2 linked regions of the Tamandua tetradactyla genome follow. The protein of the gene in region 2 interacts with the protein of the main gene of each other region in a pairwise test. Links are inferred from orthologs where the notes say so. Each region holds a gene or a part of one and is shown on either strand. Other genes may lie near its edges.

Evidence for each region. The genes of interacting proteins can lie anywhere in the genome.
Region 1: the proteins of TCL1A (region 2) and CADPS interact in a two-hybrid assay, tested with the Homo sapiens proteins (3 studies listed by BioGRID and IntAct). The two-hybrid records come from large-scale screens. The link is inferred for Tamandua tetradactyla from reciprocal best matches to the Homo sapiens genes TCL1A and CADPS.

The regions. Positions count from the first base shown.
Region 1 is NC_135341.1:21,822,160-21,825,906, forward strand, and holds the start of CADPS (calcium-dependent secretion activator 1), read left to right. Parts: upstream 1-863; 5' UTR 864-1,230; coding exon 1,231-1,671; intron 1,672-3,747.
Region 2 is NC_135338.1:56,901,822-56,905,568, reverse strand, and holds the start of TCL1A (T-cell leukemia/lymphoma protein 1A), read left to right. Parts: upstream 1-1,150; 5' UTR 1,151-1,205; coding exon 1,206-1,325; intron 1,326-3,747. UniProt on the Homo sapiens protein: Enhances the phosphorylation and activation of AKT1, AKT2 and AKT3. Promotes nuclear translocation of AKT1. Enhances cell proliferation, stabilizes mitochondrial membrane potential and promotes cell survival.

The DNA.
Region 1 (3,747 bases), on a different chromosome or scaffold from region 2:
GTATTAATAGATTAACCGAGAAGCAGAAATGAAGAGAGTGCGGCAGAGTCAACGCATTTGATGCTCGGGGGTTTCTATGATTTCCGGGGTCCTCGCTCCACCACTCAGACGGTCCAGCTAATCAGAACCGAGGAAAGGCTCTGCAACTAAAAACACTTTTTCGGTGGTAGGCTTACCTCAGCAGAAAATAATCTCAGTTCCTGGAATTGAAGAATGTTTATCACAGTTTTTGAGGGGGAGGGCAAGAGGGGATTCTACTTAAGTAACTGAACTTCATAGGCGATCCACTAATTCGCTCAAAATTTGATTCACTTGTTTAATGAGAGTGGGCGTAAGTAGAGTAAATAGCTGGAATCTGATTTTTCATAGGTGGAACAAATACATTGCCCTCTCCACACAATCCCCCGCCCCCGCCACGCCCCAGGTGCGAAGACTTCTGGGGATAGGAGATGAGTCCTTTCTTTCCCCTATGGATATCAGCGATTTCCTCTTCCTCGGTTTAGCGTCTCCAAACTGACTGCGCTCTTTGCTGACAAGAAGTCATCACTCGTTTCTTTATTTCTTCTCGCTCCCCTAAGAACTTTTGGTTCGCGGGAGGGGGAGGGGGAGAGGGAGAGGGGTCGAGGCAATGAGAGATTGGAATCATGGAGGACATTATCCACAAAGGGGTGGAGGTTTGGGGAATGGGGAGGCGTGGAAGTCAGCACTGAGGCTCTGAAGCTTCGGGACACGCTCGGCGCGCTCTTCCCACCCCCACCCCCCCCAACTCTCTGCAGCCGCCCTTTGCGCCGCGGACACGGGAGAGTTAAGCCAATAAACACGTAAGCGCCGCTCCCTCCCCAATCGGCAAGATGCCTCTTCGGCTCTTGGCTGCATCGACAGCTTGCAACACTCCGCATCTTTTCTGGAGGCGCCTTCTTCAGCGGCTGCAGATGGCATCCGCCTGCGGACTCGGGGCTTGCAATTGATCTTTCCCATTGCCCACCTCGGGTCCACGGACACACCTCTCCCTTTCCCTCCTCCCCTCGCGCTCCTGGGTCTGAGCCCAGCTCCGGATCGCCGGGCGGAGCAGGCAGTCGCGGCGGCCGAGGCTGAGCAGCAGCGCGCTCGCTTCCTGATTTGGGGGGAAGCGCCCACTCGGGAAAGCCGACCCCTAGCCGCCTCCAGCGCCCCCCACCTTTTGCACCTTAAACCGGGGGCTCCAGGGACCCCCCCTCCCCAGCCACCACTATGCTGGACCCTTCGTCCAGCGAAGAGGAATCGGATGAGATCGTGGAGGAGGAGAGCGGCAAGGAAGTGCTCGGCTCGGCCGCGTCCAGCGCGCGCCTGTCTCCCAGCCGCACAAGCGAGGGCTCGGGCAGCAGCGCCGGGCTAGGGGGCGGCGGCGGTGCCGGGGCCGGACTGGGCACCGGCGGCGGCGGCGGGGCCAGCGGCGCGGGCAGCGGCGTTGGGGCCGGGGGGCTGCAGCCCAGTAGCCGCGCCGGCAGCGGCCGGCCCTCCAGCCCCAGCCCGTCGGTGGTGAGCGAGAAGGAGAAGGAGGAGTTGGAGCGGCTGCAGAAGGAGGAGGAAGAGAGAAAGAAGAGGCTGCAGCTCTATGTGTTCGTGATGCGCTGCATCGCCTATCCCTTCAACGCCAAGCAGCCCACCGACATGGCTCGCCGGCAGCAGAAGGTATGAGCGCTTGGGAGGCCCAGGGAGCAGCGCCGGGACGTCCCCAGGCGGGCGGGGCAAACAAAGGGAACTGGCGGCGCCGCTGGCGAGGAGGAGGAGGAGGAGGAGACCGCGCCCTGGGGAAGGTGCTGCGAGGCCCCATCCCGCGGCCCAGCCCTGCCCTGTACGGGAAGCGCCGGGAACTTCCCAGGGCCCGCAAAGGCCTGAAGCGCCACGCCGCGCGCCCAGGCCTCCCTTCTCCCGAGCGCAGGGGAGCGAGGAAGGTTCCGCTTTGTGGCCCGGGAGACTCGAGGGGTGACTTGCAGCCCCCGGTGCCCAGAGAGGCCTTGCTCACTTTCAGAGCTCCCAGCGCTCTCCAGCGGTTGGCGGCTGCGCTCAGCTCTGGGCCCGCCCTCCTGGGCGTGCTCTCCGCGGGCGGGGGCACTCGGCAGGAGGGGGCGCTAGGAGCTCCTTGGAGCCGGCCGAGCTCGCCAGGGCAGAGAACCAGCGCAGGGGACAGGAGGGAGAAAGCAAGCCTGGAAGGCTAAGCTTGGGGAGGTGCTGCCAAGACCGCCCTCCTCTCCGCACCCGGGCCAGCTGATCACTAACCAGGGTTGCCTAGAGGTCCTGGAGCACAACTCCCCTCTGGTAGGGGTTCTCCATTCCTCTTTTTCTCTTCTGCACTGATTCCAGAGCTGGGCACGACCTCTGGTCTTTCGGCCTGGGTCAGCCCCTTTTCCTCCCTTTGACCCTCATCTCTTCCCAAGGTGATTTCGCCGCCACCGCCTGGCTCGCCGAGGCTCTTCAAGCCCTTACGTTGCTGACTTGATAAAGTGTCGCTGCAAAAAGCCTCGCAATTTAAAATCAGGATCAAAAGCTTTTGGAGTCTGAGGCTGGGATAAGGCTTTGGACTGACTTTGATATGAAAAAAAGTGCCTATTTCTCTTCTCCAGTTGGAGAAAGGGAAGGTGTGGTTAGCTCAGGATAAGGGGCAGCGGCGGGGTTCCTGAAGAGAAGGTTGGATGCCTAGCTCAAGTGAGTTAGTGACCAAAGTCAGCATTTTGTTCCCTTTTAAGTGAATCTGCTGCACATCAGCTATCAGAAAGGCCTGTCAACCCCCTCCCTCCCAGATAAATCAGCTCAAACTCCATAAAAAATGTGAGGACCCGTTTCTTAAAATATTGAATTCTAGGTGGCTGTCATTTAAGACTGAATTGAAAGTTGTTCTAGTAGGGTGTTAGGTCGTCCCCTAGGTTTAGCTGTCCTTATCTTAAGTTGGTACAGATGTCTGTTTGTTTTCTTTGTATATGTTCATACATCACCCAGCACTGCTGATTTATTCTAGCTATCACAAGCTTGGGTATCAGTTTTATTAAAAGCAAAACTCATTTCCTGGTTGAAAAACAGCAGTGGGCTACACGCAACAGCAGGATCCCCTCCCCCACTCCCCAGAACTGCTTTGCACTACACAGCCCCTTGTGTTCTTCACCCTTTGTTTTGGACCACAGTAGAACATAAGTAGCCTCAGAGCAGTAAAGTTTTTTTGTTGTTGTTTGTTTGTTTGTTTTTAATTTTCTTTTAAGGTTGGCTATTGTGTTCTTCAGTGGACAGGGTCTGATATTTCAAGTTACAACTTAAAATTATTGTGGCAATTGTCTTTACAGGAAATTCCATCTCCAAAATATATCTCATAATTAGCACCAACCAACGATGTCCTATTCCTTTCACAATGAAAACTGCTGTCCTTTAAAGAAAAAAGAAAACAGGGAAACCCCTCCATTTATCAGTCAGATGACTCCAGGGCTCTGTTCTATAAATAGATCTATACACTAGGCACCAGAATGGGGAAATAAATCCATTCCCACAGAGACCACTTTTAAACAGTGTTCAGCTACCTGAGAAAGAGTACCAGGAGGTCAATTCTTTTCTGATCTGATTACAGTTTGCCTGAATTCAAAGATGCAGTTTTGAGGGACAAGCTGCTTTGTTTTTTTCACATGACCTTAACATCAGAGAGAGTCCAGGACAGATTGATGCATTTAGTCAAACTATTTTTAGTTATCACAGCAAACTAATGCTCTCTGTATGTTCCAGCAA
Region 2 (3,747 bases):
GTACCTAATCAGAGAGAGAGGAAAGAGCTAGAAGTTAAGGCACCAAACTGCTGCCAGTGGTGATGTTTGAACAATGAGACAGGAACTGGGCTTACATTTGTCTCATTGTACTTTAATTCCTTAATTCCCTTAATGAGCATGCTACTACAAAATGAAGTGAAAATATTTTCCTTATTTGCTTTAATTTACAGAAAAATCCATTTGATCTTAGAGTGAAGAGAGGGTTTTGGTTTCCTTTTACACTTGATCTTAGCCAAAAGGCCGAGAAGCGATGGTTTCTTTTTAAGTGTTCATTTTGAATTATGCTTTCTGTAATGAATTCAAAGCATATAAAGGGAAAACCATGTTTCTTCACCAGCAGGTTTCACAATGGCTATTAGATGGCCACAGCATCCCCAAACCCGCAGAAAGTGGGTGTTCGGGGGAAGGGAGGGGACTCAAGAGTTGAAGTTTTGCCAAGGAAATTGATTCTGACACCCAAAACCATAGGCTGAACGTAAGCCCACGAACCTGGGAAGGCCTAGGCCTGAAGCAGGCCCCCGCTTGAGTGGCCTCTGATCCCAGAAGATGAAGAAGCGGACACCGGCTCCAGGCCGCCTGGCCTCAAAGGCAGCCTGGGAGTTCCGCACAGAGGCCTGGAGCTGCTAGCTCTGGGGCGTGGCCTGGACAGACACACGCACTGGCTGACAGTGGTGTCCGCGCGCTGAAAAGAGGGCCAGGATGGCTCTCGCTGTAGCCAAGGCCACAGACCCGAGTACCTACCGGGCAATGGACGGCAAAGAAGGGGCGAGAAAGACCAGCTGGAGGTCCTGAAAAGGCCCCGGACCTGCTGGGGCCTGGGTCTGGGCTCCTGGACTGACGCGGCCTGGGTCCGGGTTTACAGGTCAAGCTCTGGCCTCAGGGCCTGCTACGGATCCTCCCCCGGCAGGCTCGGCGCTGCTTGGCCCCGCCTCTCTCCCCGCCCCATATTGCTTTGGGCCCCGCCTCTCGCCCCACCCCATCTGGCCTTGCTCCTGCCTCTCGCCCCGCCCCCTCTGCCTTGCACCTCCCACTTCCCGCCCCTTTCGCTATGCTCCATACCCCATTCTCCGCCTAGCGCCCGCCCCCCTCCGGCCCCACCGCGTGGGGGCGCCGGCTTGCCCACTCGCTATAAAGGCGTGGGGGCCCTGTGTCTGGCTAATCTGCTAGTGAACTCGAGAGGCGCCATGGACGATCGCCCCTTGTTCAGGGAATCCACAGCCATGCACCCCGACCGCCTGTGGATCTGGGAAAGAAACGTCTACTTGGACGAGAATCAGCGCACCTGGATACCTGTATGCCTCAAGGTACAGCTGCTTTGGGGCCCGGATGGGCGGGTCAGCAGGAGCATCCGCCTCCCTGGCCCGGTTCTGGGGAAACTGGAGATACCCCAGGCTGCACAGAGCACTCAAGGAGCCCCTCTGGCCCCTGGGTGAGGGTCACAGCAAGGAGGCTCTAAAGGGGCCTCGTTCTCCCTGGGTGGCCTGGCCTCACAGATGAAACCACTTTGAGCTGGCCCCAGAAAAATGAGTAGGAGTTCTCCAGGCAAGGAAGGAGGGTGAGAACCTCACAAAGGAATGAAGCAAAGCATGGGAACCTCTTGCCTCTGGAGCATGTGAATATGCTCTTGAATAAGACAGGACTTTTCTGGGCTTTATGTATCTAATCTCCAAAATGGGCATAATAGATCACTACAATAAGTGATTTACCCACCTAGCCAGTTATCACACGTTCTGGGCTGGGCCTCAGAAATCTACATTTCAAAAAGGGTGCCCAATAGACTATGCAACCAAGTTAGGAAACTGATGCCCTAGATTTATGGGGGTATTTCATGCCTCCTCTATGCTTTGAAAGAAACAAACTTAAGTAATATAATAGTATAAAAGCAGGTACTGAATAAACGTTGACTTTGTTTTATGTATGATGCTTTAAGATGGAACTTCAGTTCTTTTTTAAAAAGAGATATAACTCTTTTGCAAATACCTTCCACAAAAGCCCAGGTTTCCCCAAAGAAACTTAAGGTTGAAAGTTGAATGACTTTCCATATATAAACCAAAGGAAAAAAATGTAAAAGCAAAATTAAAATATAAAGTATTAGAACATTTATGTCCTATAATAGTAAACAGCAGAAGGTTATTGAGTATTGACTGTGTCTCCATTGTAAATGAGGAAACTGAGGCATAAAAATGTAGATTTGTCCGGGTAGTACTGGTAGTGGTAATTGGGTTGATTCCTGACACTTAACCACTGTCTAAACCTTGAATGTTTATTGGCATTAAAATTTTAAAACTATCCATGTATACACACAAACACACATGCACACACACTCTTTTTAAAAATCAAGTAAAATACTGATTTTTTCACGTCGCGTATTTGAAGAAATACTATCTTTGGGTTACTATCTTTGTTTATCCCTGGTTAGAAATTATCTTCTTCAACATGACACCAAAACCAAGAACCAGATAGAAGTTTTCTGCACCACCATGATACATTCTACACAGAAAACAACCCACTAGCAAATTTGCCACACATGACAAAGGGACTGGAACAGTATTCTTAATATGTAAAGATATACTTAAATCAACAAGAAAAAAGTGAATAGAAACTAAAAATAATTAATGGATATGGAAGATTGTAGACATTGACACAGCAAAAATGATTGCAATGTGAGCTGAATATTTTTTTCACAGTGAACTCTATTTCATAGAAAAATTTTAAAAAGCTATTTCTCCTTTGGAAAAAGTATTGAAAAAATGGGAGAGCCTAGAATACATGCTAATCATGATTTGAGGCTCTGGGGATATGCAGTGAATGTGATAAAATCTCCACTACTTGTGAAGCTGACATGGATAGCAAAATAATTCTTAAACTGCTGGTAAATTCTGTAGGAGAACTAAAACAGGAAAGAGGGGTCAACAAGTGATGTGGGGATCTTCAGGCAAGACTTCTCTGAGGGTCTTAATTTGCACTGGCCTGATACATTTTTGCCATCATTTTGTTTGTAACCTTGATGAATCTCTTTATTTTAGGCATGTCTTTATGTATCTCACAGAAGTAGATTTTTCTGACTGTTTTCTTTTAATTGGTAAATTAAACTCATGTTCTGTTATTGATCTAACTGATAAACTAGATCTCAGTTCTATCTTTCTGTTTTATGTTATATTTGTCTTGGTATCCATACATTTGGGCCCTGCATAGTCTTGGGGAGAATGTTCCAGGCAGAGAGAACAACAGGTACAAGGGGTTGCTGAGTGCAGACATGAGTGTGGCATGTCCCAGAAATGGCAAGGGGTCAGAGTGACTGGAGTGGAGGGGAGGGTGAAGGACAGAGCAAGAGAGAGAAGGGACCCAGCTCTTTTGGTTTCCATGGGCCATGGTATAGATCTGGGTTTATATACCTGTGATGAGAAGCATAAGGTCTTGAGTGGCACACTGGCATGGTTTTTAGATGCTCATCCTGGCTGCTGTGCAGAGAACCAATGTGGGGCCTAAGACCAGCAAGTAGGCAAAAATTAGGGAAATGATTGGTAGAAGAATGGTGATGCAAAGGGATCTGTCACCAGATTTGTGGTCAAGGGATACCTTGGTTAAAAGAGGAAATATGATAGAAATAAAGAGCAATGCAAGAAAATCCTATGACAGCTGAAATGGACACCTGGGTCCCACAGTATGTCCTGGCCAATAGGAGTTTGTCAGGAAAAAAATGTCTACCTTTTCTGGCCCTCTCCA